Linked DNA regions of Arabidopsis thaliana. The protein of the gene in region 2 interacts with the protein of the main gene of each other region in a biochemical or structural test. Each region holds a gene or a part of one and is shown on either strand. Other genes may lie near its edges.

What was found.
Region 1: the proteins of CUL3B (region 2) and RUB1 form a complex in vitro, tested with the Arabidopsis thaliana proteins (one study listed by BioGRID).

Annotation. Positions count from the first base shown.
Region 1 is NC_003070.9:11,211,504-11,228,445, reverse strand, and holds RUB1 (uncharacterized protein), read left to right. Parts: upstream 1-8,827; 5' UTR 8,828-9,028; coding exon 9,029-9,121; intron 9,122-9,525; coding exon 9,526-9,785; intron 9,786-10,252; coding exon 10,253-10,370; 3' UTR 10,371-10,751; downstream 10,752-16,942. Other genes in the region: KUF1 (KAR-UP F-box 1), read left to right, coding at 5,632-6,927; AT1G31335 (uncharacterized protein), read left to right, coding at 11,117-11,329; PSAF (photosystem I subunit F), read left to right, coding at 12,507-12,862, 13,126-13,435; LBD4 (LOB domain-containing protein 4), read right to left, coding at 14,414-14,755, 15,163-15,339. UniProt on the Arabidopsis thaliana protein: Ubiquitin exists either covalently attached to another protein, or free (unanchored).
Region 2 is NC_003070.9:26,195,899-26,213,282, forward strand, and holds CUL3B (cullin 3B), read right to left. Parts: upstream 8,898-17,384; 5' UTR 8,656-8,897; intron 8,559-8,655; 5' UTR 8,545-8,558; coding exon 8,384-8,544; intron 8,309-8,383; coding exon 6,271-8,308; 3' UTR 6,088-6,270; downstream 1-6,087. Other genes in the region: AT1G69650 (TRAF-like family protein), read right to left, coding at 1,600-1,757, 1,874-2,040, 2,125-2,309, 2,360-2,412, 2,493-2,642, 2,752-2,923; AT1G69660 (TRAF-like family protein), read right to left, coding at 3,725-3,882, 3,980-4,146, 4,248-4,530, 4,618-4,705; AT1G69680 (ran guanine nucleotide release factor, putative (Mog1/PsbP/DUF1795-like photosystem II reaction center PsbP family protein)), read left to right, coding at 9,250-9,324, 9,404-9,439, 9,539-9,676, 9,987-10,073, 10,153-10,200, 10,288-10,364, 10,523-10,670. UniProt on the Arabidopsis thaliana protein: Component of the cullin-RING ubiquitin ligases (CRL), or CUL3-RBX1-BTB protein E3 ligase complexes which mediate the ubiquitination and subsequent proteasomal degradation of target proteins.

The DNA.
Region 1 (16,942 bases), about 15 Mb from region 2:
AGATTTTCTTCGTTTTCACGATTCGATTTGGACGTCATATCACTATACATGGCGTACATGCATGAAACTACATATCTCCATCTCTCCTCCACACATTCTCTTTGAATACAAACACGACTTACACGGCCCAATACGTAACAATTTATTTTATATAATGGAGTAATACACATTACCAATACGTAACATTTTTCGTATTATATATGACGGTAGTTAAAATTTATTGGTACAAAAGAAAAATTATGCATTATATATTTCCATGACGAGCTGTGATGATTTATTGAGATTAGCTTTTGATATCCAGAAGTAAAGTTTAGCTACTCCAACAAAAGTTGACTTATAACAAAGTTCCGAAATAGTAAAAATGCAAACATCAAAAATCGATTGAAATTAACATTGAAGAATATAAGTTATTTTTAACAAATGTTTTATTTTATCTCAAAGTATATACTCAAATACTTTCACAAAAAAAATATACTCATACTTTAGACACGGTTTTAAACCTTTCCTTTCTAGTCAACACGTACGTTGTACGTAGACCTTCTCTCTCTTTTTTGGTTTTATGTACGTAGACTTTGGAATCTATTAAAGCACATACATAAGTCATATGTAAATCCAACCATTTCATTCATGTATCCTTTCAATAACATCTCTGAAACAACCTACTTACATCTAGATGTTTCAAATAAAGTATATAATATGTCAGGGTTGACACTATAATAATAAGTTGACTTAAGATCTCAATGCATGTACTGTATAATGTAGTGTTAGCTAGGGGGACCATGGGCAAAGAAAGAGCTTAAGGGTGTCATTTGGCCCCGTATATTATTAAGCACTTGTGGTGGTGTTTCTACTCTGAAGCATGCACTTAGATATATATTAAAATATTTTGGTTTTAGTGTCTATATAACAAAATTTAGTGGAATAATGTATGTCATCATTAATTTTTTGTTTGAACTTTCCAAAATACCCCTCCCCCAATTATATGATCTTTTACCATATATATATTGGGGTTAAAAATATGCTTCAGGTATGCCACTGAAAACCCCTATTCGAGTGAACATAGAATTTACCATTAAAAAAAAAATTCATGTGTCCTATTGGATATTTGGGACATATATATATAAGCAACCTAGTAAATACAATGCCTTCAAGTTGTATTTATCATTCATACACTTTTTTTTTGGTCAAATAACTCATTCATAAACTTAATAATAGAAAACCCTAACATTAAGACGATTTGTTTCAATATCGTTTTCTTCTTTTACGTTTTACAAGTTCATCAAAAATCACAACAAAATTCCAAACCAATATTCAAGTAACGTTCTTAAAAGTTAAAGCCGGGAATCACATATTTAGAAATTCAATAACTATACGCCTATACCAATTAGTTATCGTCTATAAATGATTAACTCTTACAATCTCGTATTCTAATATGTACAAGTACAACTATTGCTTTCGACTTTTATCGTATTTATACATATACTATAAAAGTGTGATTTAATAGCACTTTCTCTTTCTTTTTTTTGTTAAAAATAGCACTTTCTCTTCAATTATCTTTCACGTGATTTCGATATTAATAACAAGACTGATTTTATTTTTTATTTTGACAGCAATAACAATTAACAAATGTACATGTGTAGTATTTTAGGATTCCTTTTCTGATTAAAAGTTTGCCTTAAAGAGAAAGAAAATAAAATATCTACCTAAAATACAAAAATACAAATTATTCTTAGTTTCTGAAAAGAAGAGAAATTAGTTAAGAGCAAGAGAGGACGACAGAGAAGCATTTTAATTTAGAATCACTAGCTTTGATGATAATAAATTAGAAGAGACGACGACACTCTTTTGTCTTTGTCACTGACACCAAACTATAATAATCAATTTTTTTTGTTTCTATTATTCAATTATCTTATTTTATTAAATACGTGCTGTCCCATGGAAGGAGCAGCTTTCTACATTTAATGCTTTTGCAAACTTCACCAGAAAACTTGTCTTTTAATAAATAAAATAAAAAATAATTGAGACGCATCCTAAATTCCTAATGCATGCATGTATTTGGGTTAGAATAACGAAATATTAGTTTGTTTGTTTTTTGCTAAACAATAGTATTAGATGATTTTCCCGTAATTTATAATTTATCAGACAATCTAATCCAATTGGTCAACGGATTTGATTTGGGCAGCTTGACATTCTAATGTCAAAGGAGGACCACAAAATCTAATTACGCGTTCCCTTAATAATAATAGTATGAAATATCATTCCAATGTCCGAGATTCTAGGTCATATTGAAGAATCTCTGGCCATATATCTATTCTTTTGACGAACACAATATGTCAAAATTTGAACATGTTAATGATTATTGATTAAAGAAAAAAAATATATATATTTGTCACTCAAAATGTTATGAAAACATTAGTTATCAGTCTCAACTTCCCATCTCGAAAAGCAGGATCGCGAAATAAGAGGATTAACTTTTGAAGGTTATACTCATTTGCTAGATATACGATTTAACTAGTGATGTATAACTAGGGGTCAAACCCACAAGTAAAAAGAAAGTGGTAGACCTTATCGAATTGACAATAAGTGTCGATGTGGAAAGTGACACGCACCTCTTGAAACTATAGATGTTAGATGATCTAACAATAGTCAGGGGTATGATCAAGGCAAGCTTATGAAAATCGAAAACAAAACTCGAAACGTTTTCACAAAGCTTAATGAACCCAACTTGGTTCCTTTGCAAAAGCACCGCTCGAGAAAAGAACAACCAGAGCCCTCTCTGGCTCTCTCGTATTCATATATATAGATAACTATATGTGAATGTGATTATTACATGTGTTATGTGTATATACGTGTGTTTTCCTATATCATACATAATAAAATCAAATAATCAAGATTTTTCTTTTGACAAAGTTCAAGGTATTTTTCAAGTTTAGTCAATATCACTCGTATATAGTTATGACGCCTCCCACCTATATTTTTTTTGTCATCTGGAATTATATTAATAGAAGGGTTGAACTTCACATCATAAACCCCAAGAGGTCACACATCTGAAAGTGAGAACAACAACTCAACAATCATCAAGCCTATACACTAAGCCTCTTACTACCAAAAGAAGGGCCATTACAAAAGAACACACTCCACACCCGGAACCATACAACCCAAAAACTCAAATTCAAGCAGAGGACAAACCCTTTCTTCTGCGAAGAGTACCCCTTCAAGCCAAGAAGGATGACCACTCGCAACATACGATTGTAGTCTACAGTCATTAGTAACACTCTTAGCAATAAGAAAGGCACATCCGTTTTGAAGATAAGTTTTCCAAAAGAAGTTTCTAAGCCTTGAAAGACTTAAGAGCTAAACCTATATATATATATATATATATATATATATATATAATTGTAAAACTATTACACAACCCCTTTTTCACGTAGTATACATTTCTGACGAGTGATCAATATCACGTTTTGAAAAGTCATATACTCACATTCTTTCTTTCTTTTTCTCCATTTATGATCATTTAATCAGTTAACTCATTTGATAACTACAGCTCAAACTAAAACATAAATGGCAAAATGAAATTCCAATCGATAGAACATGTAATTTACTATCATTGAAAAATAAAAATAATTATTTCAGTGTTAAACTCATTTGGTAAACATATACATTAATCTAAAATGAGATAAATTCTTTGTTCTTGAGTTTGAGTTTAAGCTGAAAAAGTAGTTTACTTTTTTGCAAGTCTTACCAAAAGTTAGCCTCTAACTAGAAGAGACAAATGCACCGAAAGTGAAACTTATAAGTTATTTATTTATAAGCACAAAATTTAAATCTTCATAAAAAGGAAAAAAAAAACTTAAATTATAATATAAGTATTGAAAAGTTCTCTCGCCGGATTATTCACGCAAACCACGTGGATTATCACGTGCCCGGTGGCCGCCACCACAAATCCACTTTACTAACATCATAGGCCAATTCAACTAAAATGAAATCAATCCTTTGTTTTTCTCAAGCAAAACTTCTAAACTCGTCTATATTTCTAAAGGGAGAGTTTTCTTAATGCACTTTTAAAAAAAACATAACATTATTTATTTCCACCTCTAAGATGATGAATCATTTAACCTCTTTCAAAAACATTATAATTTAAACGTCAAAAGGTCTATGAAAAAATGCTATACCAATATCTTTAATGAACCGTATCATATGCGATGCAAATTTATTTATTCAAGTTTATGCATAAACATAAAATTGTTACATGGTATTCTTTTTCAATTCTTAAACTATTCTACTAGTTGAAGTTATTTTCTTATACTGCCACACACTAGATATTGAACTGTAAAGATCTTTAAGCAATCGGGATACTATATTAAAGTGTTCGAGCTAAACCCACAAGTACATAAAATTGTAGATTGAATAACTTCTTGCCTTAGTTTGGATAGTTTTCTTTTAAAAAAATTATAGTAATTTATGTTATAATTCAATGACTTATATAAAAGGAAGACTTGAACAATGAACAGTTAGACAGAGATTATAAACACATCGAATAATTAATATTTAGCAGCAGTGCACCACACATCAAACTAACTTGATCGTTCAGGAGAAAGAAACGATTGATGTACGTTAAAATCCAACGCATATCCATTATTGAGAAGATTGGGAAAAGAAGGCTGGATCTGGATCACACACCAAACGGATGTCTCTGTCACTTTTTTTTTTCCTTCCAGAAAAATAAAAAATAATAATAGAAGTTGCTCTAAAAAGGGAGATTTTGGACCTTATCATAATTATCAATGAATCAACAAAAATATTATCCAATAAGATGCGCACATAATATTAATATGGATTATACACACTAGCACAAAGATGAAAGTGGAAACTTTGTAAATTTATTCATATAGAAATGTAGAAAATAACATATAATTATAATATAGATTTGCATTGTATGACAAATTGACAATGAAGAAAATGGAAATAAGTTAATAATGACTAAATGCCAATAGAATTTTATAATTAGAAGATTAGGTTCTCCCCTTTACCCTTTACTTACTTGTCAGCTTCTTCTTTTTTTCTTTCATCTATTTTTTATGTTTATGAGAATTCTTTTTAATTAAAAAATTATGGTGATAGAGTTAAAAAATAATAATTATTATGGTGATTTTTCTCTGCTTTTTTTTTTTTATCTCATCCGCAAAAAGGCTAAAGTAACCCTAATATAGTTAATTCTTGTTTTTTTCATGAGTATATTTTAAATAGGATGAAGTCACATATTTTAAAAGCTTAAGCCAACAAAACTAAGTTTTTACAAAATAAATTTTATTTCTGTTCACCGGTTCTTTTTCGATATTAAAAATTGATCTCGATGGAAACCAACCACAATTCTTACTAAAAATCTCTAGTCTTCACGTCTTTGTTTAATGGTTGATACTTGATAGGCTTCTGAAACTAAAATACTGTATAAGATAATCAAATATAACTAATATTATTTTACTGATAAAATTCTCTATAGCCACTTGAATACTATAATCATATGTGATGCTATAAATGTATAATTTTAATTTTATAAGTTAGCTTTACGTATTTATGATAGAGATGGTAACACTTTCCAACTTTGGCCTTTTCGATTTTGATATATGTATGGCTCCTACGCCTTTACTTACTTTTCCCTCTCATTCATTACACTTCACGCCTCCTTTATCTCTCTTTAATAACTCCAAAAAAAAACAAAAACAAAAAAAGAGAGAGATGGAAAAAAAACTGAAACGGCGTGAATCAATGTCAACCACCGCCGCAGAATCACCGCCGGCGAAACGAAGAAGAACAGTCACCGGAAATGAAAACTCCGCTTTAATCGAAGGACTTCCCGATCACATCTCAGAGATCTGTCTGTCTCTCGTTCACCGTCCGTCGTTACTCTCCGCCGTGTGTACACGGTGGCGCCGTCTTCTTTACTCGCCGGAATTTCCTTCGTTTCCGTCACTCTACGCTCTTTTCGTCGATTCAACATCGGATACGGGTCGGGTCAACCCGTCAGTCCGGTTTATGTGTTTCAACCCGGTTTCTTCAAAATGGTATCCGCTTCCTCCTCCACCACCTGACCCGCCTCTTCACCGGATTCTTTACCGTCATCCGTCGTTTATCTCCTTTAATTTACCGATTCAATGCGTCTCCGCCGCCGGAAAACTCATTCTCATCGCCGGAAGTAACCAACAACTCTCTCCGGCGATCTCTCACCCGTTAATTTTCGATCCAATTTCGTCATCCTGGAGCTCCGGTCCTCGAATCGGATCTCCAAGACGGTGGTGCGCCACCGGAGCTTGCGACGGAGCTATCTACATCGCAAGCGGAATTAGTTCTCAGTTCTCATCAACCGTCGCGAAATCTGTCGAGAAATTAGATCTAACCGAACAAAACCGGAATAACCACCGGTTTAATTGGGAGAAATTGAGAGATATGAGAGATTTACGGTTTAGTCGAGAAGCTATAGACGCTGTTGGATATAGAAGAAAGCTTTTAATGGTAAATGTTAAAGGAGACGCGGTTAAAGAAGGAGCTATATACGACGTCGTTAAAGATGATTGGGAACCTATGCCGGAGGAGATGTTGGTTGGATGGAGAGGCCCGGTTGCGGCGATGGAGGAGGAGATTCTTTATTCGGTGGATGAGAGGAGAGGGACAGTGAGAAAGTACGATGATGAGAAGAGAGAGTGGAGAGAAGTGGTTGTGGTTGAAGGTGGAGAAGAGATGCTTAAAGGAGCTACGCAAGTAACGGCGGATTCCGGTAAACTTTGTGTTGTTACTGGTGATGGGAAAATTGTTGTGGTGGATGTTGCGGCGGAGCCGGCGAAGATTTGGAATGTTGAGATTCCTGATGGACTTGAACCGGTTTCGGTTCATGTTTTACCAAGAATGAGTCAACCGAATTTTTGCTGACGTATTTTTTTTGTGATATTATTATTATTATTATTATTATTCTTTTCCTTTAGTATACGGAACTTTTTTTATTTTCTGTTTTCCCGTTTTTCTGGTGGAAAAGTGTCATCTTGTCGTTATTTTTTAATACCTGCACTGCAAATGAAAAGACAATACACGTCAGAATTTTTTAATCTTAATTTATGGTATACAACTTTATATAATTTTTATTCAACTCGTAGTTAAAAATAAAAATCTGTTTGGTTGTGGAAATATGGAATATCTCTCTCTCCTTTATGAATCAACGTACAATTATTAGAAATTTCACATATCAAATAAAATAAAATTTTGGATACGAATGGTTACGATAGTTGGAGTGGACGAATCCGTTTATGGAGTGAACCTCTAGTATAATTTATAGTAGTACATGTCAAAAAATATAACAAATCTGATGCGGACTAACTATGATCCGTTTGTACATAGAAATAAATTTGGTATACAATAGATTGTTATCTATCCCAAAAATATAATAATCTAATTCGCTAATCGTTTAGCGAATTTCGTCCGCTACATGCATTTAAACCTTTTATTCATATATACATTGGGGAGTCGATTCATTTTATCATTTGATTTTAAGTTAATATTTAAGTTTGATGAGATTTATAATGGTTCATTTACCTATTATCTGTTCTATTTTATGGAGATTGATTAAGCATACCAAAACTGACCAAAAGCCATCGGTGATGCTATAATGTTAAGAGACTCACCAACTTGGAGTAAACCAGAACAAACCACGTTTATTCAACAACTCAAGATGTAGACATACAAAAATATGGATAAGAATCACCTATTTTATAAAGTCCTCTCATGCATTGTAAGGCGTTAGCTATGTGTAACTTGTTTTTGTTTTTTCGTTGCATCTTTATTGTGGTGTTGAATAACTGATTTCAATTTTCAATTGACTGAAACCAACTTTCAGAAAGCTAACATATGTCAGTGAAAATAAAAAATCAGCAGAAAATTAATTGAATTTATATGTAGAAACCAAAGCTTAAAAACCTTAGAATAGAGAATTGAGAAAAGTGATCTATTGGGTTGGATTTAAAATTATCCGATCCATTGGGCTTAATGAGAGACCTCTTTGTGATAAATTGACAAGAAATAAAGGCCATCTTTTATATGAGCTCTTCACGTCAATGTGGACCATCTTGTAATCTATCATATGGTTCATACTTTTAAAATCACATGGGTTCTATATGTGAACAAGTTTGAATAAAGATGGTGAAAAGGCTTTTTAGTGGTTGAGAAGAAAACGGTTAGAGAGATGTCTTTAATTTTGGTATGATGCCATTGGGATACACATATGGTCCAAACAAGCGTGAAGCGTCTCCAATACCTACATGAAAGGGTGAATTCTTTCACGATGAGTCTGCGTTTATAATAACAAAACGCTAGCTAGAGAGACAACCCATTCAAGTCCAATGAAATGTTGTCGAGCTTTTAAGATTCTTCCATTTGACCTTTCAGGTTTATCACCGTCTAAAATTGAACATAGCTTGATCTCTTTGACCATAGTATTTAAGAGGTTTCGCGTCAAACCACTCACTGCCACAACATGGTCCATAGTATGTAGAGACTAGTGGGTTTTGCACTAAGCTCTAGATTCCAACAAAATTGAATGTCAACAATTTGTTGTTTTCGTTTTTGGTTCTAAAACTAAAAAAAAAATTCAATGTCCCCATATTTTCTTAAAATCTAAGAAAACTAATTTTAGTACAAAATCTAAAAACTCTTTTAATTTTTGTTTTTAAAAGTTAAATATCCTAAAATAACAAACAAACAAAAAAATCTCAATATATTTAAAGCCACATTAATATATTTGATTTAAAGATAATTTTTAAAATTGTTAGTAAAATTATATAAGAAATGGAGAAGAAATAATAGCGTAGCCCAAAAGCTAATTACGAATTCTATCAAAGGATTTATTCCAAATCTTTCAAAAAGTATTTTTATTCCAAAATCCTCAAAACTATATCCCAAATTTTATTTGTATATATATAATACTTTTCCCGTCCGTAATAATATTCATAAACACCATTTCAGCGAAGAAAGGAAAAAAAAAATGCAGATCTTCGTCAAAACCCTCACCGGAAAAACCATAACCCTAGAGGTCGAAAGCAGCGACACCATCGACAATGTCAAAGCCAAAATTCAGGTTTCTCTTTCTCTCTTTCTCCGTCTCCCAATTCCACCTCCTCGTGCTTTTCTTAGGATTCTAGGGTTTTGCACTATGAATTTGTTTGATTGTTGGAGACACAGATTGGTTTGCTTTGTTTGATTGATTTTTAGGTTTTCTTTCCCCGATTATCTAGCGATCGATGTTAAGATTTCTTTAGATTTCTGTGTAACAGTAAGCACAAAGGCTCTCTTAATCCTTCATGTGTTTGCTTAATTTCGTATTTGTTTATGTTTTATGGTACACTTGAAGGTATGTGAATTGCTTGAGAATGGTTAATTGTTTCTGAGTTTAAGAAGATTGGATTAAGATTATTGTTAATGATCTTTTGATTTGGTCTTCTTCTAATTGGTTTATGAATGGATGGGATTTGATGAAAACAGGACAAAGAGGGAATACCACCTGATCAACAGAGGTTGATATTTGCTGGTAAGCAGCTTGAAGATGGTAGAACATTAGCGGATTACAACATTCAGAAAGAATCGACTCTTCACTTGGTATTGAGGCTTAGGGGTGGGACTATGATTAAGGTGAAGACTCTCACAGGGAAGGAAATTGAGATTGATATCGAACCAACCGATACTATTGATCGGATTAAGGAACGTGTTGAGGAGAAAGAAGGTATCCCTCCTGTTCAACAAAGGTAAATAACTTCTTTTTTTCCAGTTACTTCAGAAGAATTGAGTCGCAAAGTTTTTGCCTTGGGAACATTGAGTCTTGAACTATATTAACTCTTTGTGATATCTGTCTCAGCTCTCTTAGAGTTGTTTGTGTGGTTGAGTCAAAACTGATTGTATAAGATAGGTTGCAGTTTATTGACTTGAGTTTCATGTTTTAGTGACTTGCCCCTCTTGTGAAAATTGCAGCTCCTTTCAGCTCAGCTCTTTTACTTGATTGTATAAGTTGCGGTTCATTGACTTGATTTTCATGTTTTAGTGACTGGCTGCTTCCCTCTTGAGAAAATTGCAGCTCCTTTCGAGTGTGTTTACTTATGCTTTTGGCATCAAACGATTCTACTCTGCGTGCAAGCTGATAATCTATGCTGTCTCATATAACAGTGATTCTCATTAGTATTTCTAGGATGCTTATATATCTCATGGATGTTTGCAGGCTAATCTACGCCGGAAAACAGCTAGCTGATGACAAAACGGCAAAGGACTACAACATAGAGGGAGGCTCTGTTCTTCATCTGGTTCTTGCCCTTAGGGGTGGTTTTGGTCTTCTCTGAGAAGTAACTCTTGAAGATATCTTTTTCTCTTTGTATGGCTTGTTGGAGTTCATGGGAAAAAAGTGATTGCAATTTGGATATGATACTTTGAATATTATGCTGTTTCACTGGGTTTGGATCATTTTACCAATAATCTGTTAAATATCGAATCATTTTGTTTTGTTTAACATCGAATCGTACTTTAACATATTTATTTGGGATTTAGCTATTTATGATGAATATCTTTCATTCAAGAAAGAGGCTAGACATGTGAAAATAGGATCGAGCTATGTGTAAGATCGGACCAGGCCGATTGAGATTGCTGGTTGCATGAGTCCATCAATAGTCCCATATTTATTTGCATTACAATGAAATAGTGGTTACAAATCGTCAAATCCAATGAGTGTCCATCACATTTAACAATTTTTACTTTAATTTTCTAAGTAACTTAACTTGTCAACTTGAGTTTGATTCTCTATACTTTCATAGCCAGAAAAGCACATGAGACATGACTAATGTGATTATAAAAACTAGAAGAAATCGTATGGATGGGCCGACCAAAAAAAAAGATGACCGTTGAGATTTAAACGTTAAGCTTTAAAGCTTTACAAGACATAAACGTTGCGGACAGAATCGGATCCTTCCAGAGCCTCCCACAAACTCATACATATAAATACATGTGAAGTAGAATCAAAGCAAGAACAAGAGTCCAAGAATAAAAATCAATCAGAAAGAAGATTGAACATAGATCTCAAGAGTCAAGATCGATGGGTTTGGTTGTGGTCATATCTCTGCCTCTAATTTTCTTCTGTCTACTTCTCGGATTTGGCTGCTACTTCCTCGGAAAATCTCGCGGCCGTCGTGAGATCCGTACAAATCCTCAGGTGTATGGAGCTCCAGCTCCGCCTCCCGGTGCTATCGCCGCCTCCTCTCCGCCGTTGTCTCCACACGCCAAGCCCGACAATTCTCACAACGTCTGATTTTCCTTCATTTTCTCTTCTTTGTCTGTCTTGCTTGTCTCTATTGGAAGATGCTTTTGTTTGACTTATTGTGAATTGTTGTAACTTGTAATCTTTTGATTGTCTTTAGTTTTCTTGGGATGAATTTCCTTCTTTATTTGTGTATTTTCCTATCTCTTTGATGTAAATAAGAAAGCTAGTAATGGTTTACACATTGATTATTCTATAAGAAACATCTAGAAAAGAAAAAAAAGGAAAAAAAACATCTAGAAATATATCAGAACTTCTTTCACAAAAGAATAATATATATCAGAACTGCGTGTTATTAATTCAACGAGTTCAAACTTCAAAGTATGATGTGGTAACACAACCAAATTCTCCTCTCGGATATAATTAGACCAAAAAAAAAAAGACGAAATATTTTTGCTATAAACAATATATATATGGGTAAATGTGAAGAAATTTGTTTCTTCTGCCAGGAAATAGACAGTTAATACATTGAAAAAATGGTAAAACTTTAAAGAAAAGCATATCTTAAGAGATGAAACCCTAATTAAGGTGTTGAGACTTCAGAGACAGATCAAGAGATCTTATCAGAAGATATCTGTGAAGCATTTCAAACAAACATTACAAAAAATGTAGCCTCCTTCCGGCGGAATGGTAGAAGGAGTTGTAATTCTGCTAATGTTTATTTTGGTCATATATAGATTTAATTCTTTGATATTGCAAACTCATGATCCCATTTTCTTATTATGTGGTTAACCAATAAAAGACTCAATTTTGCAGTCTTACTAATCAGGACTATTTGCCAAAAAAAAAACTAATCAGGACTAAAAAACTACATCTCTTTTTTTTTTTGCTACATATATATATATATATGATTATTTTCAGTGTATATATAATATGTATAGATATTAAAAATAAATAAAAGATAAGTCGTGTGTAGTCCACATATCTTGAACATCAAAATGACAAAACTATTAAAATCCGCGGCAAAATCTCTTATCCAGTGACATGTTACTTATCAACCAATCACAACACGCCACCTCATCACCCCAAGACCACTTCTCTTATCTTCCTCTCCCTCCACTAATCCCCTCAAGAATCTAAAGCTCCTCCCATAAGTCTTCTCTCCACACTTCACCCAAAACTCCAGAACCCTAGAATTCGAAATCTCCAAAGAACCCGACAAAGCGCCATGTCGCTCACTATCCCGGCGAATCTCGTTCTCAACCCGAGATCTAACAAATCTCTCACTCAATCCGTACCTAAATCCTCCGCAAGATTCGTCTGCTCCGATGACAAATCCTCCTCCTCCACACCTCAATCCATGAAAGCTTTCTCCGCCGCCGTCGCCCTCTCTTCCATCCTCCTCTCTGCTCCTATGCCAGCTGTCGCTGATATCTCAGGTTTGACTCCTTGCAAGGACTCAAAACAGTTCGCTAAAAGAGAGAAGCAACAGATCAAGAAGCTTGAATCTTCTCTTAAGCTCTACGCTCCTGAATCTGCCCCTGCTCTTGCTCTCAATGCTCAGATCGAGAAAACCAAACGCAGGTTCGTCTTCCATTTCTATTTCTTCGTTAAACCAGAGCTTTTTCTCTGTTCTGAAACAGAGCTTTCCTCTGTTCTGAAACAGAGTTTTTCTCTGTTTTAGTGAATTACTTGCTAGATCCATTGCTTTAGTATGATTTTTTTGGTGAGTTAGTGAGTTTTCGAAGTTGCTAGACATGTTAAATTTGATCATTGATATGATCTATTGAGGAGCTTGTGGAACTGTGGATTGGTTTGAAGTTGATGTGCTTATGAATGTATGTTAGGTTCGACAACTACGGGAAGTACGGATTGTTATGCGGGTCAGACGGTTTACCGCACTTGATAGTGAACGGAGACCAGCGGCATTGGGGAGAGTTCATTACTCCAGGGATTCTTTTCCTCTACATTGCTGGATGGATCGGGTGGGTTGGAAGAAGCTACTTAATAGCTATTAGTGGTGAGAAGAAACCCGCGATGAAAGAGATCATCATCGATGTTCCTTTGGCTAGTCGGATCATCTTCCGTGGTTTCATTTGGCCCGTTGCTGCCTACAGAGAGTTTCTCAATGGTGATCTCATTGCTAAGGATGTTTAAAAAGGGAACTTGTTTTCTGCTTTTGTGTTACTCTCTCTAATCTCTTTGTTTTCCATTGTACTTATTGAAAAACAATGCATTGTCGAAAACCTTATAAAATTTGGATTGCGCAAGTAGAAAGAATTATGGCTAAAATGGTGATTGACAGATTGTGATTTTGCGGTCTAGTGATTGCTATGTGAAGCTCAATTGCTTGAAGGGAATATCCTGATATAACGCACAGGAGCATAACCAAATTTACTTAGTATAATGCTATTTTACCACTCTTGCATTTGCATGAATGCAGGAGAAGCTCTTGAACTATAATAGACTAAATTACTTGTGTTTCTTCTTAAGCTCACTGTAAATTTCTTACCACAAGCACATGCTCCGGTCCGGTCTTTCTGTTTCCTTCATATGCGAGCGATTCTATCAGCGACTATCAAATGGCAAATGTTTGCAAGGAAACCAAAAAATAAAGACAAATGGGCCATAAGTTTGCATAATAAAAATTCAGGCCCATACAAGTGCTTAGTGCTAATTGCTAAGCTAGACTTAGCTAGTATCAAAGATGACCATTACACGATAATATGCTCACAGAGTCAAGCACACACCATGGGTTACATGATCATAATTGTATATAGATATAGATAAATAATATATCTCACAAATTTACATTAGGTCAATAACAAAGATCCCTCCTCGGTTGGAAATGATCAAAATAACCCTACCGGATCATGATCCAAAGGTCCTACACATACACCAAATCCCAAATACCCCGGAATTACAAAGTTACAAATACTAATAAATATATAGAGAGAGATTTATAATATATAAATATATTTAGTATTTTTATGTATCTATATCATGTTAATAATTTCACTCTGTAGTCAAAACAGAGCATTTTCATATCCTACCCCTAAATTTAATATATAATAATCCCGAAATTTCCCAAAAAAGGAAGAGGAAATTGCAGTAGCAGAAAGAGAGCATTATTGACTAGCAAGACCACATAGACTCTCCCAAACTGGCTTCATCCACAATGTCCATATGGCTAAACATGCCCTTGTTGTCCTGTGGACTCACTTGCTTCGAAGACGGTGACCCGCTGCTACTCGGACTATCCGGGCATAGTCCGTGCCCTGGGAAATTAGTCGACTGGCGTACACGTAGATGCACCACCTCAGCTTGAGCTAGAGCTAGCTGAGCTTGCAACACATCTATCTGTTGCTGGAGGGACGAAATTGCCCCAACGCAACCGTAAACCGGATCCCGCACTCTTGCATTAGCCTCGTAAACCATGCTGCTCACAGCGTCCCCTCGCTGGTGGATTGGTAATTCCTGTTGAGTTTTTAAAACATTTTGTCAGCCACTAGACCAATTAATCTCGCAAGACTATATAAAATTTATATAATCCATCTCAAATGTAGACTCTACATCAGCTAGCTAAGAAATGTAAATCATATCATTAACATTAGCTAACAAAAGTTAATATGGTTAAAATTCAACATCAGCTAATAAATGTAACATATTCCTAAATTCTTAAAATTCAACAATTTTGTTTTTAAATCCCTAAACTTATAATATAAACGGGTCGGCCCATGTGGTAGTTGTCAATAAAAAGTTATGGAAATGATAGTAATGTCTCATCTAAAATAAGAAACAAGAAAATCATCCTAATTAAACCTAACCCAACATATGAGTAAGCACGTTTTAGATATTCTTAAGAAGAACAAGAAGAAAGAAACCTGAAGCATCTTGTTGACGTTGCTAGCACCGAACACTCTATGAACATTAGCAAATTTCTGAGGCTCATCGGCCGGAAAATACGGCGAGAAAACGCAATCTTGAGCGCACCGCCGCCGCAAAAGCTTACACGCAGCACACGGTGACGCAGCTCCTTGCTTCCGGCTACTTTCTTTCATCTCTCGCCGCCACGTGTCCTTTGGATATGTGAATTTATCTAGAAGAACTGAATCTCAACCGTTGGATTGTCAGTTATCGAGAAAGCTGTGGGAGGGTCTCTAGGTGAAGTGTGACGGATCTGTGGGGATTTATAGAGTGAGAAAGAGAGATGAATTAAATTAAATTAAAACTGAAAATTTCCAAAGATTTAAGACAAAAGTAAAAAAAATAAAAGTCAGCACATCTGAGAGTGGGACCCAGAGATTTGGAAAACTTTAGGTTTGTTTTGCTTTGGTCGTAGAGCAAAAATTAACATCACGTGACATGACCATTTTAGTTTTACTTTTGGCGCCAAATGCTATTTGTTTTTTTTATATTCTCTTTTTGTCTTTTACCCCTTATCTATTCTCATTGGTCTTAATTTTTTTTTTTAACTTTTGATTTCTTTTTCCCCTTAATTTGTTTTGCCTTTAATGTTTTCTTCGAATATGGTTGAATTAAATGGTACAAGTTGTAATTAATATTCGGAATCACCACAAAACTAAATAAAGAGAAATTGTAAATGATATACTCCCTCCGTTTCACAATATAAGTTGTTTTACCTAAAAGTACGAAGATTAAGAATATTTACTTTTAAAAAGTTCAACCAATCACAAAAGAGACTGCATAATATAAATAATTATAAAATATTAAAATAAATATATAGTTTGCATAAAAACTTAAAAACAATTTAATTGTAAAACAAAAAAATTGGTCCAAAACAACTTATATTATAAATCGAAGAGAGTATAAAAATATTAATCAATTTACTTTATAGCAATTGGTTTTGAAATAGTCGACCTATAAACTTTAATATTGGAATTCTATACTCTTTTTTTTGTAGAGTGAGCTACAAGAGGGTTTTCTGTTTGGAATGTTACATCTTTATTGAAAATGTGTATAGGATAAGGAAATTTATGGCCTCGTGCTTGTGCATGTAATCATTGTTTCTATATCTTTTGTGTATTGAGATTCTCACAACTTTCTACGTGGTCCCTCAATTTGCATAGAAGGGGATTAATATTAAAATCTGAAACAAATGAAACTTAATTTTCCATTGCTTAAAAATCGTGGAAGGGTAAAGTGGAAATCTAAGAAGCAATTCAAAGGAATTAGAGGTATCAATCTAACAACAGATATTTTAAGTTTGATCATAAACTTTAGTAAACTATAATGGACAAGTCTTTATCACCGGTGGTTGGGTCAAGGGTTGAAAGTTTAAACGATGGTGGATGTCTTCTTTTCGGATTCTGTGTGGTGTGGTTAGATCTTCTGTTTTGATGCAAGTCAGTGGTTCTTATTCTCGACTGCTTTGAGTTGATGTTCCTACGTTTTGCTGGTCGAGGACTCTTACAATTTTCTCTCGGCTCGGTGATTTCTGAGATGTAGTTCTAGTTGCGACATAAGTTGGGTTACATCTCTTAGACAATGTAGGTAATACTAATATTGATGTATAAAAAAAAATGCAAAGATATCTATTTGTTGATATTTTAGAACATAAAACAGTATATTCTTAGAACAGAAATATACTATTTTCACATGTACCCATATCAAGATTTTGTTTTTAGTACATTTACATATTAT
Region 2 (17,384 bases):
ATGGCGTGATTGGTTGTTTTGTTCCTCGTTTTAGTTTCATGTCGTCTTTGAAACGACGCCGTATAAGTTTAAACATATGTGACGAATGTATAAAATTCATCTTTACTAGCTCTCATAATTAATGAATTAATCAAAAAAAAAATCAGTATCCGAAGTTTTACTACCGATAATACTAATTGAATGAAGGCAATCTCTTATATTTTATGTTTCTATAAAATAGAAGAGATTCTTAACCATGAGAGATAAATGGTTAAGAATGATAGATAACTAGATATTATGAGAAATTTTTAGATAAAACCTTTTCAAGAAACTCATTTTCGATATAGGAAATAAAACCATTGTCAATAAACATTGGAAAATAGATTGGGAGATTATGGAAAATCAGTTTTTTTTTTTGTCTCTTATAAAATAGGGTGATTTGCAGATATAGCATTTTTTTACTAAATAATTAACTAACTAACACCATAAATTTGTAAATGTAATAAATAACCTTCAAGGGGTGTGAAAAGACATCACTGTCCTGATGTTACGTTTGTCAGCGAGGAAGGAAAATGTTTAGTGTGAGGTGACGTGGCTTTATTATTAGTGTTGAGGTGAGAAAAGAAATCAGGTGGTAGGAGAGAAGTTCCTTTTTCTCTTTCTTTTTTCTTTACCCCTTCCCAATTATAATTCATATTATCTAATCTTTAAAAAATTAATTCAAGTTCATGATATATCAATTAAAAGTTGTATAGTTTTCTACATATATCATGACTTAAATTTTTTAAAACAGACACAAAATAATTTAGATGTGAATAGTGTTGTCAATGAATAACATAACGTTCTATATAGATACACAATATTTTTTTATGGAAAGATATTAAACCCTAAGGGATAATATATAGGGAACCCAAGGGTTTAAATCTAAACCAATAATTAAATCACTTAACATCCTTAATCAAAACAAATAATTCATTTTAAAACGTATATAAAACAAAGTATACGTAAATAGTATATTTACAAATAGAATAGTATCTCTCAAATTGCAACAACAAAACTCAATTTCATCACCAAGACACCAAGCGCAACAACGAAAGTCGATTCCCTGAATCCAAATTGTGTTCCTCCCTCTGTAATTCGAAACCCCCAAATCAAATCTCACCCAAAAGTAATTAAGAGACTCTGATTTGAAAACAAAAACAAGTAACAATGTAGGTGTAAGGACTTTACTGGGGAGAAAGAGAGAGGGGGAGGGAAAAAGAAAGAGAGAGAAAGAGAGAGGGGGAGAGAGAGAAAGAGAGAAAGGAGAGAGAACGGAAGATAGAGGTACACATAAAGAAAGATGAGAGAAATAGATAGAGGGGTAAACTTGGAATTAATATACAAAATATAGAGGATATCATTTTTTTTTTTTTGATGTTAGTTCCTTAATTATAAATTTTTTGTTGGTTAGTTTTGCCAATTCCCCTATAAAATAGAATTAATAGAAAACCAGCTGAGAACATGAATGAAAAAAAAAAAAAAACTGGTCCAAGACATAGCATTGTGTCTTAGTAATCTACTGGTTCCTATTCTACTCATGTAGAAGTAAATTAATAAGTAAACAAAACAAAAAAGAGTTTAGATAATGGTAGAGAATTTGGTCGCGGAAACAACTTCAAATTCGGCCTCAATCATCAACGTGTCTTCTTTGTCCAAGTAAGTCTTCCGAATTTTATCTAAGGAAAGAAATTTACACCAACCGTAACCAAAGTTTGATCCCTTGTGCCAGTAGTTCACTGCAAGAACAAAAAATGTGAAACAGTTATAATGAGAGTAATTAATATCTCAGTTTGTATATCGAAAGATTATAAAAAGTAATAAGATAATAATGCAACTGTCTTTTAGTAATTACATCGGCTTGCCACGTGATTGGATCCAAGCGGGTTTAGAATTCGCACAACTACTTGCGTGAAAATCTTCTCATCTGGTTTTAGTGTTTCATTATCAGCTAAATAAAGAAACACGGATAAATATTTGCCTTTTGCTCTAGAGTTGCCCTTCGGAAACAGCTTTAGAACCCTACAAAAGATAAAATTACGAACATTCATACACACATGTCTATAGAGATACATTTTTGTTAACGATTTTTATATAGATACTCACCATTCCCTTCCTCCTATTGAAAATCTGTTTGGTTTGGAACACTCATTTTCTTTCCACTGAGAAAAGTTCTTAACACTCCAAGTGACCTTGGGATAAGAGAGTTTCTCATCATGAAAAGAGAGGATTTCCCAATTGGTAAGAGGTGGAGCAACAATGACATCAACACCAAACTCACATTCATTACCCTCGAATAGGTATCCATTTTGCGGTTAATGAATGTTTCATATGGAAAAACTTTTGGCAATCCCCACACCATTTTAAGTGCATCGAACCGCTTTATTTCAACATCTGAAAGATATATAAGATACATCCATTACTGATTTTAAATGTGAATTTATAGAAAGAGAAGCATGAGATGTATACTTCACCTTTAGTAAAGTACTTGTTTTGTTTCTTGTTGTAGACAAAGAAGCGGAGTTCCGCAAACACTTCAGTTGGTGGTTTGGATTCCATCAAGCTTGAGCTGTCTAATTCCACGTACATCGAAATAAATCCACTTCCATTGTCCTTTACGTTCCCTTTCGGATATATGATCAATCTCCTGTTTTTTTTTTAAAACAACATATTGCATTGGCTATATAAGATATAATGATTAATGCTAAACCCTGAAAATACAATTATCCATACCAGTTATATCACCAGAGGAGAAAAGACGAGATTGGTATTTATGACCAGAGAAGGAAGTAGTTTTCTCAAGTTGGGAGAAGTTGTGAATCTTGAGAGAATAAGAAGAAGGAGGATGATCTCTCCAGTTTTTCTTGATAGTAGAAGAAACTGGTGCTGAGCATGATGCACCCATCTTATTCTACCCAACACAATGCAAGTCTTAAAAGTTAAAACTATGATTGATTAATGTATAAATAGGATTCTTGGGGTGTCAAGATAAACTATTAGGGTTTTATAAAAATTATCGCTTAACAAAAAAAACAAAATACATTTTATAGGGGGAGAGGAAAATAAAGAGAGATTTACGTCTAAATACTTGTAAACGCATCAGATTATTTGGCATAAGTATTTCATTTCTTGGAGAAGATTTTTAATTTGTTGGTAAAGTACATATCTTTTATAGATAACTTTACACCAGATTTCATCAGTTGTAAATAACCCATTTTTTCTCTAAGAAGATTTTCATAAATTTTGTGATATTAACCTTTAATATTAAAAAACGTAAAACATGCGAGAAAAAAATTATGATCATGAATAAAAATATTACTACATTATTAATTATATAAAAGTTTACTTCGTAGATGGCAAATAATGCATTCTGTTGCCAAATATTGTATAAAATTCTCCTAATATTCATGTCCAGTTTGAAAGATTAAACAGTGTGCTACTTGAGTGGCTTAACTGGAGAAATTATAAAAGAAGAGATTATTTACGTATAATCAAAACGTTTAGAGTATATCATTATGGAAGCAACAAAGGTCCTTCTAGTAAAAACTCAAACAAAATATATAACATATTTTCTTATAAAAGCAAATTTATGGAAAACTAGAGAACTCAAATTATAACAAACTGGTCCAGGACATATAGCATTGTGTCGTAGTACTATAGTAGAAGAATGGTAGATGACTGATATTCTAAAAATAAAAAGTAGAGGTTAGATAATGGGAGAATACTTGGTTGCAGAAACAACTTTGAATTCGATTTCAACATTCAACGCATCTTCTTTGTCCAAGTAAGTCTTCCGAAGATTAGCTATAGACAGAAAGTGATCCCAACCCCAACCCCTGCTTGATTCCTTGTACCAGCAGCTCGCTGCAAGAAAGTAAAATGCAAAACATGGTTAGTGAGAAAGACAATTTCAAATGAATATCTCCGTATATATAAGAAGACTTATTTTTTTAGAAAATACATTGTACTTCGACGTGATTAGATCCAAGTGGGTTAAGAACTCGCACATGTCCTTGCTTGAAATTCTTCTCATCTGATTTTAGTGTTTCACTATCAGCTAAATGCACATATAGGGATAAATATTTGCCATCTGCTCTAGAGTTTCCCTTTGGATACAGCTTTAGAACCCTACAAAACATTAAGTATGGACTTGTTAACATTCAAATACATGTGTATACATACTTGTTAGTCCATAAACAAAATTTAGCAAAATTATTTATACTTCTCACCATTCCTTTCCTCCCATGGGATATTTGTTTGATGTGTAAACATCCTCTTTCAACTCAGAAAAATTCTTAAGATTCCAAGAGAATTTGGGAGGAGAGAGTTTCTCATCAAAAGAGAGAATTTCCCAATTAGTAAGGGGTGGAGCAACAAGGACATCAACACCAAACTCACATTCACCACCCTCAAAGATGAATCCATTTTCAGGATTAGTAAATGTATCATATGAAAGAACTTTTAGCAATCCCCACACCATTCTAAGTGCATTGAAACGCTTTACTTCCACATCTAAATATATAAACATCGCTTACTCAATAATATGTGAATTTATACGTAAAATTTTAAAGAAAGAGCATGAGATTTGTAGTGCAGCACCTTGAATAGTAAAGTACTTGTTTTCTTTCTTGTTGTAGACATAGAAGCGGAGTTCCGCAAACGCCTCAGTTGGTGGTGTGGATTCCATCAAGCTGGTATTTATGATCAGAGGAGGCAGTTGAGTTCTCAAGTTGGGAGAAGTTATGAATCTTGAGGGAATAAGAAGATGGAGGATGCTCTCTCCAGTTCTCCACAATTCTAGAAACTGCTGCCGAGCATGAACCCATTTTACTCAATGACGTCTTCTAACCCTAAAAACAATGTATATATATATATATATAATCTCTTTTTTTGGTAAATATATATAGAAGAATCTTGGAGTTGGGGGTATTCAAGAAAAAACATTAATACCCCCAACTCCAAGATTCCCAAAAAGAAGAAAAACCTGTGATTTGCTTATACAACTGTTTCTACATAAAAAGTTGATTCTTTAAAGTTTAATAATGTGATTTGCGAGAGTGGAAAGGAATGGATAAGCACCGTTCTCTGGCTTAGATAGCTTTGATTGATATAGCAATAGCAGACTTACAGTCCTCGTACTTGATTTATCTTCTCTTGTCTTTTGTTACATGAGGCTGCAGAAACTCAATCAAATTTAGTATTAAACCAGTGGTGATCACATATAAATGATTTGGGAATTCACTATGCACCCTTTTGGAAGAATTTGTTCTAGCTATCTAGAAACAGATCAATTTGTTCAGAACTAGCAAAAGAAGTACCTCATCATCAGATGTGTATCATCAAGTCTCCTCTTCTTTTGGGGTACCACATCAACCAAACCTACACAAAATTATGCACATAAGCACTTATTGTTTTAATAATCGTTCACCGGATCGAGCCATTGTAACAATATGTATACCACAAATGATAGAACCTTACTTTTACTTCCTTTTGTTTCCTTAAGATCTTTCTTTTCCTTTGATACGCGAAAAAAGTCAAAGCAAAGGTCCATCATGGAGGTCAAGTCCTGTTTGATCACACAGTCCTAAATCAGTACTTTGAAGATTGAATTGCATGTTAGAGAAACTGGTGCTACTTACACAATGAAATTCAGATTCTGATGTCCCACAAACTTCAATCAACCTAAGCTTGTCTACCTTAAGCTACTTCAATCACCCAAATCAATGCACACATAAGTCTTTAACATTCCATTATACCTAGATGCTGCGATTTCAGGACATATAACAGCTTTACAAATCTCGCCCTGTGATTCAATTAGTCAATACAAAAAAAATTCAATTTCAATGAAGAAGGAAGGAGATTGTATCATTTTGGATTGAGTGTAAAGAGTTATCTTACGATTCCGATGATTGAAGAATCGAATTAGACATCGCATAAACGGCCAAATTCTGCAGCTTTTCGTATGAGAAGATTGTTATTATTAGAGAGACCAAGCTTTTTAGCTACGTTGGAGATATCCGTTAAGCAACTGTGTGATGCACAGATTAGTCCGTTAAGCAAATGCTCGCTCTGGTTATATATCTTTGATGATGTATATGGGTTTGATCAATAACAGGCAAATCAATATTTTCTTTTCAAAACGGAAACAAAATGTTTATAACTTACCAGACTACAGAACAAATAAGAAATGCTGACTAACAGAAGAAACGATGCGAAATAAACAGAGGGACCGTGTAATCAATCCAGACTTTTTTACGCTAGATAGCGGTAAAGTTTCCGGTCTGTATTATCCCTCTCCAAGAAATCACGCTCAATGAGTGATTCAATTCTCTTCTTTATCTCTGTTGGGTTTGCCAAGAACCGCGTCTGCAACTGTTTGGTGACCTCTGCGATTATGTTGTTGTGATCCAACACTCGTCTAGACTTCATTATCCTCACGATGGCTGCTTCGATCTGAGGTTTTCTGTCTTCTTCTACTCTCTGTCTTGTCTCTTGCTTCTCTGGTTCTGTCTCCTTTTGTGCCACCACAGTTCCTATCTTCACTTTGTAGAACTTGCTTGCGAACCTGTCGTTCACAACAAACCAGTCCTCCTCTGCTATCTCCTTGCTCATTGGTTCTTTTCTTAGCACGTTTTTACCTTTTACACACGCCATTGACTGCAAGCAACGCTTTAGGTCTGGGGTGGGGATTTCAGTTGCCTGTTCGATCTCTTTGTAGCTTAGTCGATCAGAGTTGTTGAACAACATAAGGACACACATTTGGAAAGTCGAAACGTTTAGTTCATGCTTCTGACCCTTTCCAAACACTGCTTTGATATCTGCTGTTCCCATATTCGTTTGCCAAGACAATCTCCTACCGGTGTGAGTCCCGAGGTAATATGACCTGAACTTCTCACACAGAACAGAAACTTCTGCAGGTAGGTTACATTGTATGGTTGGCTGTGTGGGCCAAGAACCGGTTGTGAGAACCTGAACAACAAGTGTAGGTCCTTCTGAAAGCTCGGGATGGCTATTATAAAATCCTAGCAGCGTGTCGTGTGAGGTCTTCATGTCAGTGAACATACCTTCAAGTTTCGAAGTGAATTGATACCCACATTCCGTCTTCAGTTTCACTATCAGATTCCTCTCTGCATCATCCGACACAGTTTTTCCAGATAAAAGCCTTTTCGCCAGATGCTGTTTGTAATATTTCTCAAAAACGTCTTTCTCCTGTAAGTAGCGAAACAACATCATCACCTTATCAAGAATAAGATCGACATCCTCCTCTCCCACACCTTTTAGTCCTTTTCGTAGCTTATCATCAACAAACAGGGAGATAAACTCAGGAGAACGTGTGTTCAAGTTGACGAAATACTCAAACGAAGAATTTAGCGCATTCTGGAACGTCTTATCGTTGTTAAATGCCATGTTGATAATTCTGTCATACTTATCCCGCTCATCCAATAGACGCTGCACAAATTCAACCGGATCCTTTGATTTCTCTGGATCAGTAACCAACTGTTTTCCCATTTCCCTAAGATGCAAAGTCATAACATCTCTAACCGTTACAAGACCATTAGCAACCCTACGGAACAAACTATACATTCTACCCATATCCTCATACTTATCATTCAAAAGCATATTAACCAAACCTGAATTCTCCATATGAACTAGTCTCTGCACATGGTTAGCAATCATCTCTCTTTCAACCACACTAGTAATCTTCGCTTCGCTCTTAGCATCCAAATAATTCACAACCCTTTCGACTTCTTCCACTAAAGGCTTCTCAGCTTTCTTCAAATACTCACCACAATCACAAGACTCAATAAACTCCATTGACTCAACCTTATAAAACTCAGCAGAAGCTTCCAAAAACGGCTTCTCAAAATCATCTTGATAAACAGATTCACCTAAATCCATAAACATCTTAATCACATTCCTCATCAACACCCTATCTATAACTTCACCAGTCCGTTCCTTATGAACTAAATCAAGAAGCGTATTCAATAGCCTAGTCTGAATCTTACTCGAATACACAACATTATCTCTCCAGAGATGAAGTCCAAGCTCATGAACATGAGTTTTCTTAGTAGTAGAAACGTAAGTACGATCCATATACATGAGAATATCCCTAATCATTTGCAACGCTTTGTTATGATCATTCCATTTCCTATTAAGCAATTCTAAAAATGCTCCTCCTTGAGCTTCTTCAATAGACTTACATATCTCTTTGAGATGAAATGTCATAGTGGTAACAAGTCCAGTATAAAGCTTATCACCATACTTATGTAGAACCATGTTGTATGCGTTTCTGAAATAAGCGACCAAAGTTTAGCAGAACAACAACAACAAGAGATGAATCAAAGTGAAATCTATGGAAGTGTACCTGTAAAGCTCTTCGAAACTGAGACCACTAGCGTTGTGATTGTAAATCTCATGAATCGCATGTTCAAGGATCTTCCAAGTTTTATCGGCGTATTTTGGATCAACGACGACTCGTTGCTTAAACGCTTCAATCTGGAAATTTCTCTTCTTCTGATTACTCATTGTTGAAAATGAAACTGAACCAAAAAGTAAGAGAGACCACAAAATCAGTTCAAAGGAAAATCGGAAAAAATTCGAGGAATAAATCATGATGATAGAAGAATTGATTAAAACCTTAGATCAATCGTAGAATCAGAAATTGGAGGTTAGGGTTTGTGATGAAGAATTTGAAGGTTGAAGTCTTGAAGACGATGATGATGATGATTGATGATGATAGCGGAAGAAAAAAAATTAAATCTTATTATTATCCCAGTGGTTTTGATTATCTCTATTTGTTTAAAATGGGCTAGATAAAACAGATGGGCCTGGGCTTTTGTTAAAAAAAACTACGGTATTAATTTAAACGATGTCGCTTGGTAATTCTCATTCTTCTCAATCGTGAATTTGCAGAGTGCAGACATTGTTGATTGAAGAACGCTAATCGTTTGTTTTTTTAATTGTTTGCGTTAAGTTAAAGCTACTTGTTGGGACGTCAAAGCAACGCTTCTTTCGATTCTGACTTTCATATAAATACTAAACTCCAACTTTTTGATTTCTCTGCTACTTTTGTTCTTCTCTTTTACTTCCCCAGATACATCAATCGATCAATTTGGTACTCTTCTCTCTTCTCTTTAATCCCTAATCGATTCTGTTATGTTTGTGAGTGCATTTTTTTTTTCTGGCAAAGTTTAGTTTTTTGAGGATTTTGTTTTTTGAATGTAGCAAAACATGTCTGTTGAGTTATGTTCGGTGAGGCCTTTGTTTGGTGGCGCTATTTCCACCGTCTTCCCTCAAAGATTTCAGGTTCTTTCAATAAAACCCTTTTCGCTGCTTAATTGAAATTCACTGGTTTCCTCATTTCTTCCTTATTGTGAATCTTCAGGATGTGAGTAATATCCGACAAGTTCCAGATCATCAGGTTTGGTGGTTCTATTCTCAGTGGCATTGTTTGTAAGTACATGTGTAGAAGAATCTCTAGTTTACTCTGTATTTGTGTTTGATTGTTTGGTTTTCACAGGAAGTGTTTGTGGATCCTTCAAGAGATGAGAGTTTGATTTTTGAGTTGTTGGATTTCAAGGCTGAGGTTGGTGACATTGGCAGTGCCTCTTGGTTCCTTAATGATCTTGCGAGTGAGCAAGATGCTGAAGGATTTCAGGTAATACCACTACTACACTAGAACTCTTCTTATGGTAGACAAACCAACTTTAAGAACTAGTGTTGTTATTTCTCTAGAATACATCTAGTATCTTGAGTACAAACATAGAGTTTAACGTGTATAGATTTCCCAAAGTTGGAACCTTTTTGCCTGTGATGATACTAGTGAGGCTGTTTTTTGGTTATTGTGGATTCAGTCTCTGAAACTAGTCGAAATAGAACTAATACTGGTGTGTTTTTGGTTAATCTTTACCAAGATTGATGATATATATGAAGAAGACAATCTAGTAATGTTGCTGTGTAATTTTCAGTTGATTGAGCAATCAGAGGTCATTGAGGCGCCTGGACTGTCTTTCAGAAACATCTCTGCTGTTGCGACAACTGCTATTGGAGAGATGGTAATGTCCATAAACATATGATGTCTTTGCTCATAATTTTCCTTTCTATTTGTTTTCTCCTTAACAAGGATCATTACAGGCTATATCCAAAGGAAGACAGGGAAGAGAAGCACAAAACCTAGTGAGAGTATGAAGCTTCTCCTTGTTCTGTCTCTCTATTTATTCTAAAGGGGTTTGTTACTTGAGACACCAACTGGTTTATATGATTCTGCAGGTATATGTGGCAAATATTCGTCTTAAGGGAGTTGATACAGATGTCTTAGTGACTGCCTATGAACCTATCCTGATAAAGTAAGTCCCACAAAGTTGAGTCACTCAGTTATATTGCAAGCAGTTGAATATAGATATGCATCGTTTTGATACAGAACTTGAATATCAAAATATGGTTATTGTTGTTGTTGTTGTACCACATGTCTTTTCATCTAAGGTGTTTGCGTATTATTGTGCAGTCCTCTGAGCGAAAGCGCGGATGCTGTGGGATCTGGTTTAGCTGTCCCAGCTTCACAATCTGGAAAAATGCCAATGTGTGATATCATTAAACAATCACTCTCTACATTCAAAGTCAATGACTGGAATCTTTTCGGTTCCTCAGCTTGAGTCTATGCGAAATGAGAAGACGATTCAAGCCCCTGCCAATTTGGTGTAACCTAAGGCTGCAAGAAGTTTGCTTTGTTAAAGATTTGTAGTTATTCTTTTGGTCCTGTTAGGTTTAGTAGTTGGAACTTTCTCAACATGATCTTATTTCCATTATGTAAAATGCCATTTGGCCTTTATCTTAATTGCAAGACTGCAATCCACTGTTTCATTTGTTCAATAAGTGAATGAGTCTTGCTAGTTGGTAGGCAACGTTCTCCACTTTCCCATTTCCTGCCATTGTAGGAATCAATGACTCCATCTCCTGTTTCATTTGCTTCCTGTATTTTGCGTTGTAGGAGTCAATGGCATCATCTTCTGTTACATTTTAGTGAATGCAGTTTAGGAGATAATATAGAACAAGTGTGGCTGGATCATGAAGTTTTTCCACAATACGTAGCTACAAATTCTTCAAACTTCTCGCTTATATATTTCCCCTTAGATATGGTAAGTGCAGGACTCCATTGCTCTTTCAAAATGTCGAGGCAAATGCTTCCGTTGCTGTTGACAAGTCTTTTAAACATATGATTTATGGCATTAACTGATGTACACACAACAAAACATAAAGACTCATGCGCCATAGCAATGTCCTGAGACTTCTCTCTAGCAGAAGAATGCATGAGCAGTTTGAGAATCTCAATCCTCTGACTCTATTGAGACCAACAATATCGACTATAAACATCCGAATGAAACGTCTATAAAATTAATACTCGATAAATTAATAAACTTGATAAATTGATTTTTTTGTCTTTCTATTTAGATAAAAGTTTTGAAGTCATGTATTTTAATATTGTTAAAGATTTTGCGATGACCAAAAACTATACACATATGTAATATTCAATTTTAATTTTAATTTTAAAACTTTTAGTTTCGATTTTATAAGAAGTTGGTTCAGAAGATTAAAAAAAAATGGATTTCTTTTACCATTTCGGCTATGGGCCATCGCATCCTTTGCTTGCATACTCAGTCATGCCCCGACTCTGGTCATTTTCCTCTCGAATGGTCATAAACCAGAGTCTTAATTTTCTATCTTTTCTTACATACATCAATATACATCTCTTTTTTTTCCTTGAAAAAAATGATACATATACTTTTAGACACGCATTCTACAGAACTTGTCCGAGTCTTTTCTTCCTATTAAGAGAATGGAAATGATTTGAAGCAGACTGACGTCAGCCCTAATAGAGATTGGGAAACGAGAATACGGACGTCGGAGAGTGATATGGCGTTGTCAGCCTCACCCACCAAAATCGGCCATGAATCTATTTTCCAGTTTCCACTAAACTTGTCTCACGTACATTTAAGATTTTCGATATATATATATGTACAAAAGTGTCAACCGTATTTATTTATAATTTTACTCGGCTTATAAAGTTACAAATACGTATGATCATACAATGTGTTTTTATGGAGGTACACGTCGAGATAAAAGAAGTTTTGTGAATATTTGCCGACACGGACGTTGATAGGCTTTGCGTGGTTTGTGTGACCACCAATTTATAGAAAATATTATTCTAAATTATGATAAGTGGTACGTATAGCCCTCGGGTCAAATAGAGATGGAGAGAGAAAACGACTGAAAGAAACTTGATGGTTCCTCAAAATCACTATGTGGTATTTCTCGTAATTCTCTAGATGTTGTTGGGGTGCAGATCTGAAATATAAAACTTTTAATAAAAAAATTTCTCTCATTTTACTTTTATAATTCAAAAACGAATGAAGAAAACGCTCCTTTGGCAGCTCTTGTCCCCTTTACATATGAAGTAATATATATATTTTTTCTCATACAACCAAGCAAAACTGGTAATTCCCACAAGAAGAAAAGTTAGACAACCTTAAATATTGATAGAATATTTTTTCTTCCCTAAATTATTTAGTCCTAGTCCTAGAGTTTCTCTAAATTCAGCTCAATTGAATGCTCTTTCATTTAGAACAAAACTATATATAAATTATTATTGGAACAAAAGTGCATTAAAAACATGTGATCAAGGCCAAGATTTTTTTAAGAAAAAATATAGTTCTAGATTAAACGAACCAACATAATGTTTGTTTTAGCATAATACATATATTTAAAGAATGTTAAGCCAATAGCACCATATTAGTAAAGTTCTAACACATAAGCCAAGAGCACTATGTTAGTAACATATTCGCTTGTACGGAAGAAAAATTTTTAGTGGAGAATGAAATAGTTCTAATTAGTAATTAATGGTCCAAGAGGACTACTAGAAATATGATGTGATATTTTTGACATATTACAATATATTATAACTAGAGTACTGCCGCGGTTTTACAGAAGTAATTCGTAATAATAATTTTGTAAGGGAAAATAGCAGCTATATAAGAGTAAATGCTTCTGTCTTTTTGTGTGAGATATTCGCAATATGCAAAAATGTACGTATATATGATGCAAACATGCACACACAAAAAAATGTTACTTATATTTGTATTTTGAGGATTGAGCTGTGTTGTTGTTGTTTTTGTTCGATGATATTCCTCTTCCAGCATTTACATGTTAGTGCCCTCGTCTTTTTCCTCACTTTAGTTTCCATTATCTAACATTGTTTATCTAATTATTGATTAAACTTTAACCATTAATCGTTTATATCTACTATAATTACAATAAAGATCACGCAACTGAAATTATATACACGTATATATCATAGAATATGATATGCCTAATGATATATAATAACGATTCCCCAAATCTTATGTCCATACGAAGTTTTTTTCTTTTTTTTACAACGTCTAAAAGATATGAAGCTATTTAGGCCTTCAATGGAGCACTCAGAACATAGTGGATGAAGTGCGTATATTTATGACCCATTCAACAATTTTTGTGCTAAGAATGGTTGACGTTTTTTTTTTTTCTTCGAAACTTATATTTTGTGTACATGGGCCATTTAAGTATATGTGTGTGAGTGTGGTTTTTTAATTTGAAATATTTTAAATATGAAGAATTTAATAAATTAGTTTTATCAATCAATACAACTTCTATTTCAAGAACAATTCCAATGCTTAAGTTAATATAATCTCAGAAGAATTTTGTTTTATTCCACACCCTTTGCTTAATTATACCTATTTCGTATGTCATATTCGCAACAATATTCTTCTTTGTCTCGCCCGATCCGCTTGCTGGCGTGACTGTCCGTTTTGATGTCACTATTCTGACCTTTAGCCTACCAACGATGTGGAGCACATAAGAAGAGTATCGTACTAGAGCAAAAGAAAGATGATGGTATTAATCGTGAATTTATAATATTGTTGTTACATGGTGATGATTAATGTCGATCAAGAGTCCGAAACCCACGTCAAATTGGCTAAAAATTACAAAGGCTATGTAAAGTGCTCATGTTGTGTTGTCCTACGAAGGCTAAATTGTTGTCATCTTTCCTTTGAATGTTATTGCTGATCAGATAACCTACGTACTTAAAGCATAAATCGATAACGGAAACAAATCTAATTTATAGAATCGTAATGATTACTTCTTGGTCGGAATCTCATAGATGTTTTATATGCTAGCTAAGAAATAATCATCGACCTGTATTTTTCTAAACTACAAATTGTATTCATTGTTACTAGCTAATAATAACGATTGCTCTGGAAGTGAGAACGTCACAGTTTTAAAGCAAACTAAACGTGGATCCAAAATTTATAAATCAAAAGACATGGAATAATTATAAAACGATGCCAATAATATAATGTTGTCAGTTTTAACATGTACTTAATAATTAGGAAGTATTATTTCTAAAGAAATTCAAAACAAGAGATAAAAACAATTCCTTTGGACCTTAAAGAAGAAAAGATGATAAGAGATCATACGAGTATCTTATATGGGTATATATAGTCAGTATATAGATATATAAAACTAACCTTAATAACGTCCAATATTCCAACCAAGTAGTTTTTACTCTATCTAAATAATTTAAGAGAGATGAAAAAAGAAAAACTAAAACTTGAAGATAACATATGGGAGAGAAGGTGAGACATCAGTATCACACGGTCATGGAGATCAGAGATGAGGTACAAGTAAGAAAATTGAAGATATATATATACATAGACACACACACGCATCACTCTTCTGTCTTGTTTTTTGGAATTTTTTACATGTACGTATGCATTTTGTATGCATTTACGTACATGCACATGTGCTTGTACACGTATATAGCTGTCTTATTTTTGTATAGAATTAATGCAAATGAATATATCGCTTAAAACTTTTGTATAGAATTAATGCATATTAGTTAATTATACACGTATATGTCAGAAACATAAATTTTAAAACTAATAAATAAAATTAATGTCATGTTATCGAAATAGTATAACCATATACTAGTTAGTACTTACTAGTGATGAAAAAAATAAAATATAGTTCCAATGGAAGTGAAATTGATACATAAGATGTAAAAGTAGATAGACAGTTGTAGAAAGAAACAAAAGGAGTAGAGACATAGATACGAAGAAGGATATATGTAGAGGTGCAGACATGAATTATGTATAAATATAGATTATATATAGATGCTATCAAAAGAAAAAAAATGTATAGAAATAGATTAGATAGGGTCCAAACACAAACAATGAATGATGAATGCTAGGGTTCCGGATGCAACGTGATTATGTCGCTAGCCGTAGTGACAGTTCATGAGAGGACAACTTTTATGTTGTTTCTTCCTATCTCTCTCTCCTAGTCTCCTTCTATGCAATTATTTCTAGCACCATAAGTAAGTCAAATCAAAACTTAAGGTTTTCTTCAAAACTTTTGCTTATATTCATATTGGAACCAAACCATATTAGATCCAAAATAAACTAAGATCAAAAGTATGAAAATGGAGAGTAAGTGAGTCTTGAATGGTCGATATGAGACGATCAAGGTAAGGAGAGTGACCGCTCAAGTCTATCGATAAACTAGATAGGAGAGTCTTAACCAATCATATATATTCTCTGAAGAACCTCGTCCAAACTTGATTGGTCGATTAACACGAAAAGTTAGACTGATCAAGTTTTTTTTTGTCCAACGCTTGGTTTTGATCGTTGATCCTCAATTTTGTTTAGAATTATTCTTTGTTATATTTACGATGGATCCATAATGGTAAATCATCCTTTTATAACTATGGCACCGGACTTGAACTTTGATTTCAATCGTTTTGACCTAACTTTGTTTAGATATTTCTCGACCAAACTGTGTTTGATTATAAGTTGTAAATAGGGGACTATTGTCACATGGGTTATACATGCCAATGTTATTCCTTTCATTACCTATCTATCCAACATGGACAATACATGGCTTTCAATGCTCTTTATTTCTCTCTCTACATATACATATGTCTGTGAATTACTTGTCGTCGTTTAATATTTTCATAACCAAAATTAACCATCAAAAATCAAAATTAAATAGTAGTTGGTTCTCGTAATGTAAAACGTGTATTTATAATTATGTGCATGTTAAGTTGTCTGTACCAACGAGACGAGACACATAACGAAACATATATAATAGTTAAATATATATAATCACTACACTACTTATAATATATGGGGGTTTCAACTTTGAGCTGACGTAGTAACGTGGATCCCAAAAAGAAAAGAAAGGTATAGCGTATTGATCACTAATCCACAATGATAATTCTTAGTGGGATTATATCGATCATGAGTGTTATATGATACAAGATCTAACTAAACTGTATAATGTTTTTAAAAAGTATAAAACTTTTATTTGTCAACAATTAATAAACTTTATTTAGATCGATGGACTGGCTGTTTTTAATAAGCTTAAGGAAACATGATTTTTTATTTGTTGATAGAGTGGAAAATCACCAATTGTGCTTATTTTGTGGACAATTTGCTTATTACACTAAAATCACGACGTGTATATTTTTGGCTGATTATGTGTAAATAGTCTTTTTGAGGTTTATTTACAAAAATGATATGGTTAAGAAATCGTAAACAAATAGATATTGACTTTTATCAAATGATATATGGCAACATGAAAAACAATGTGTCATGGATTAAATAATTCGATCTTGTTTATATGCATTTTAAATTTAAGTCATTTGCATAAAAACATATGAAATCACACCATTCACTTATTTACGATATGATCATCATATTATTTTACAAATATACTCCAAAAATAGGCTTTTACTTGCATATATTCTATTTTCTTTATAACAATGTTTAGATAATGCATAATGTTTAAAAATAAAAATGGGATAAATGATATAAGCAATAAGAGAGTATGGGTTGAAGATCATTGATAATTTGATATATCGTACAAAAACATTAGGAGGGTGATGCAGAAATATAAAAGATCAGGGGCAATATCAAGAAAATCTAAAGCAAGGTGGAGGAAAAAAAAAAGAGAGGAAAGAAGCAGAAGTGGAGCTGCAAAGGCAGTGAGGCAATCATTGCTGGTGAATGTGGATGGGAGCCCACCTTTTTTCTTTTAATTATTTGTTTCCCATTTCCTTTCTCCATTTTGTATACATTTTTTTTATACTCAAGTGTATTTTTCTTATATAATATAAATGAGATGAGTTGGAAAATAATACAATGTAAAACCTGTGTATTCAATACTATAAAGTATGGATATTTGGTGTCGGTTTAAATTTTTTCTTAATCTAGTAAGTAGTAAGTATGTATGTATAGTTCAGTATGGTTTTAGTGTCAGTTTGGATTCGAGATTCA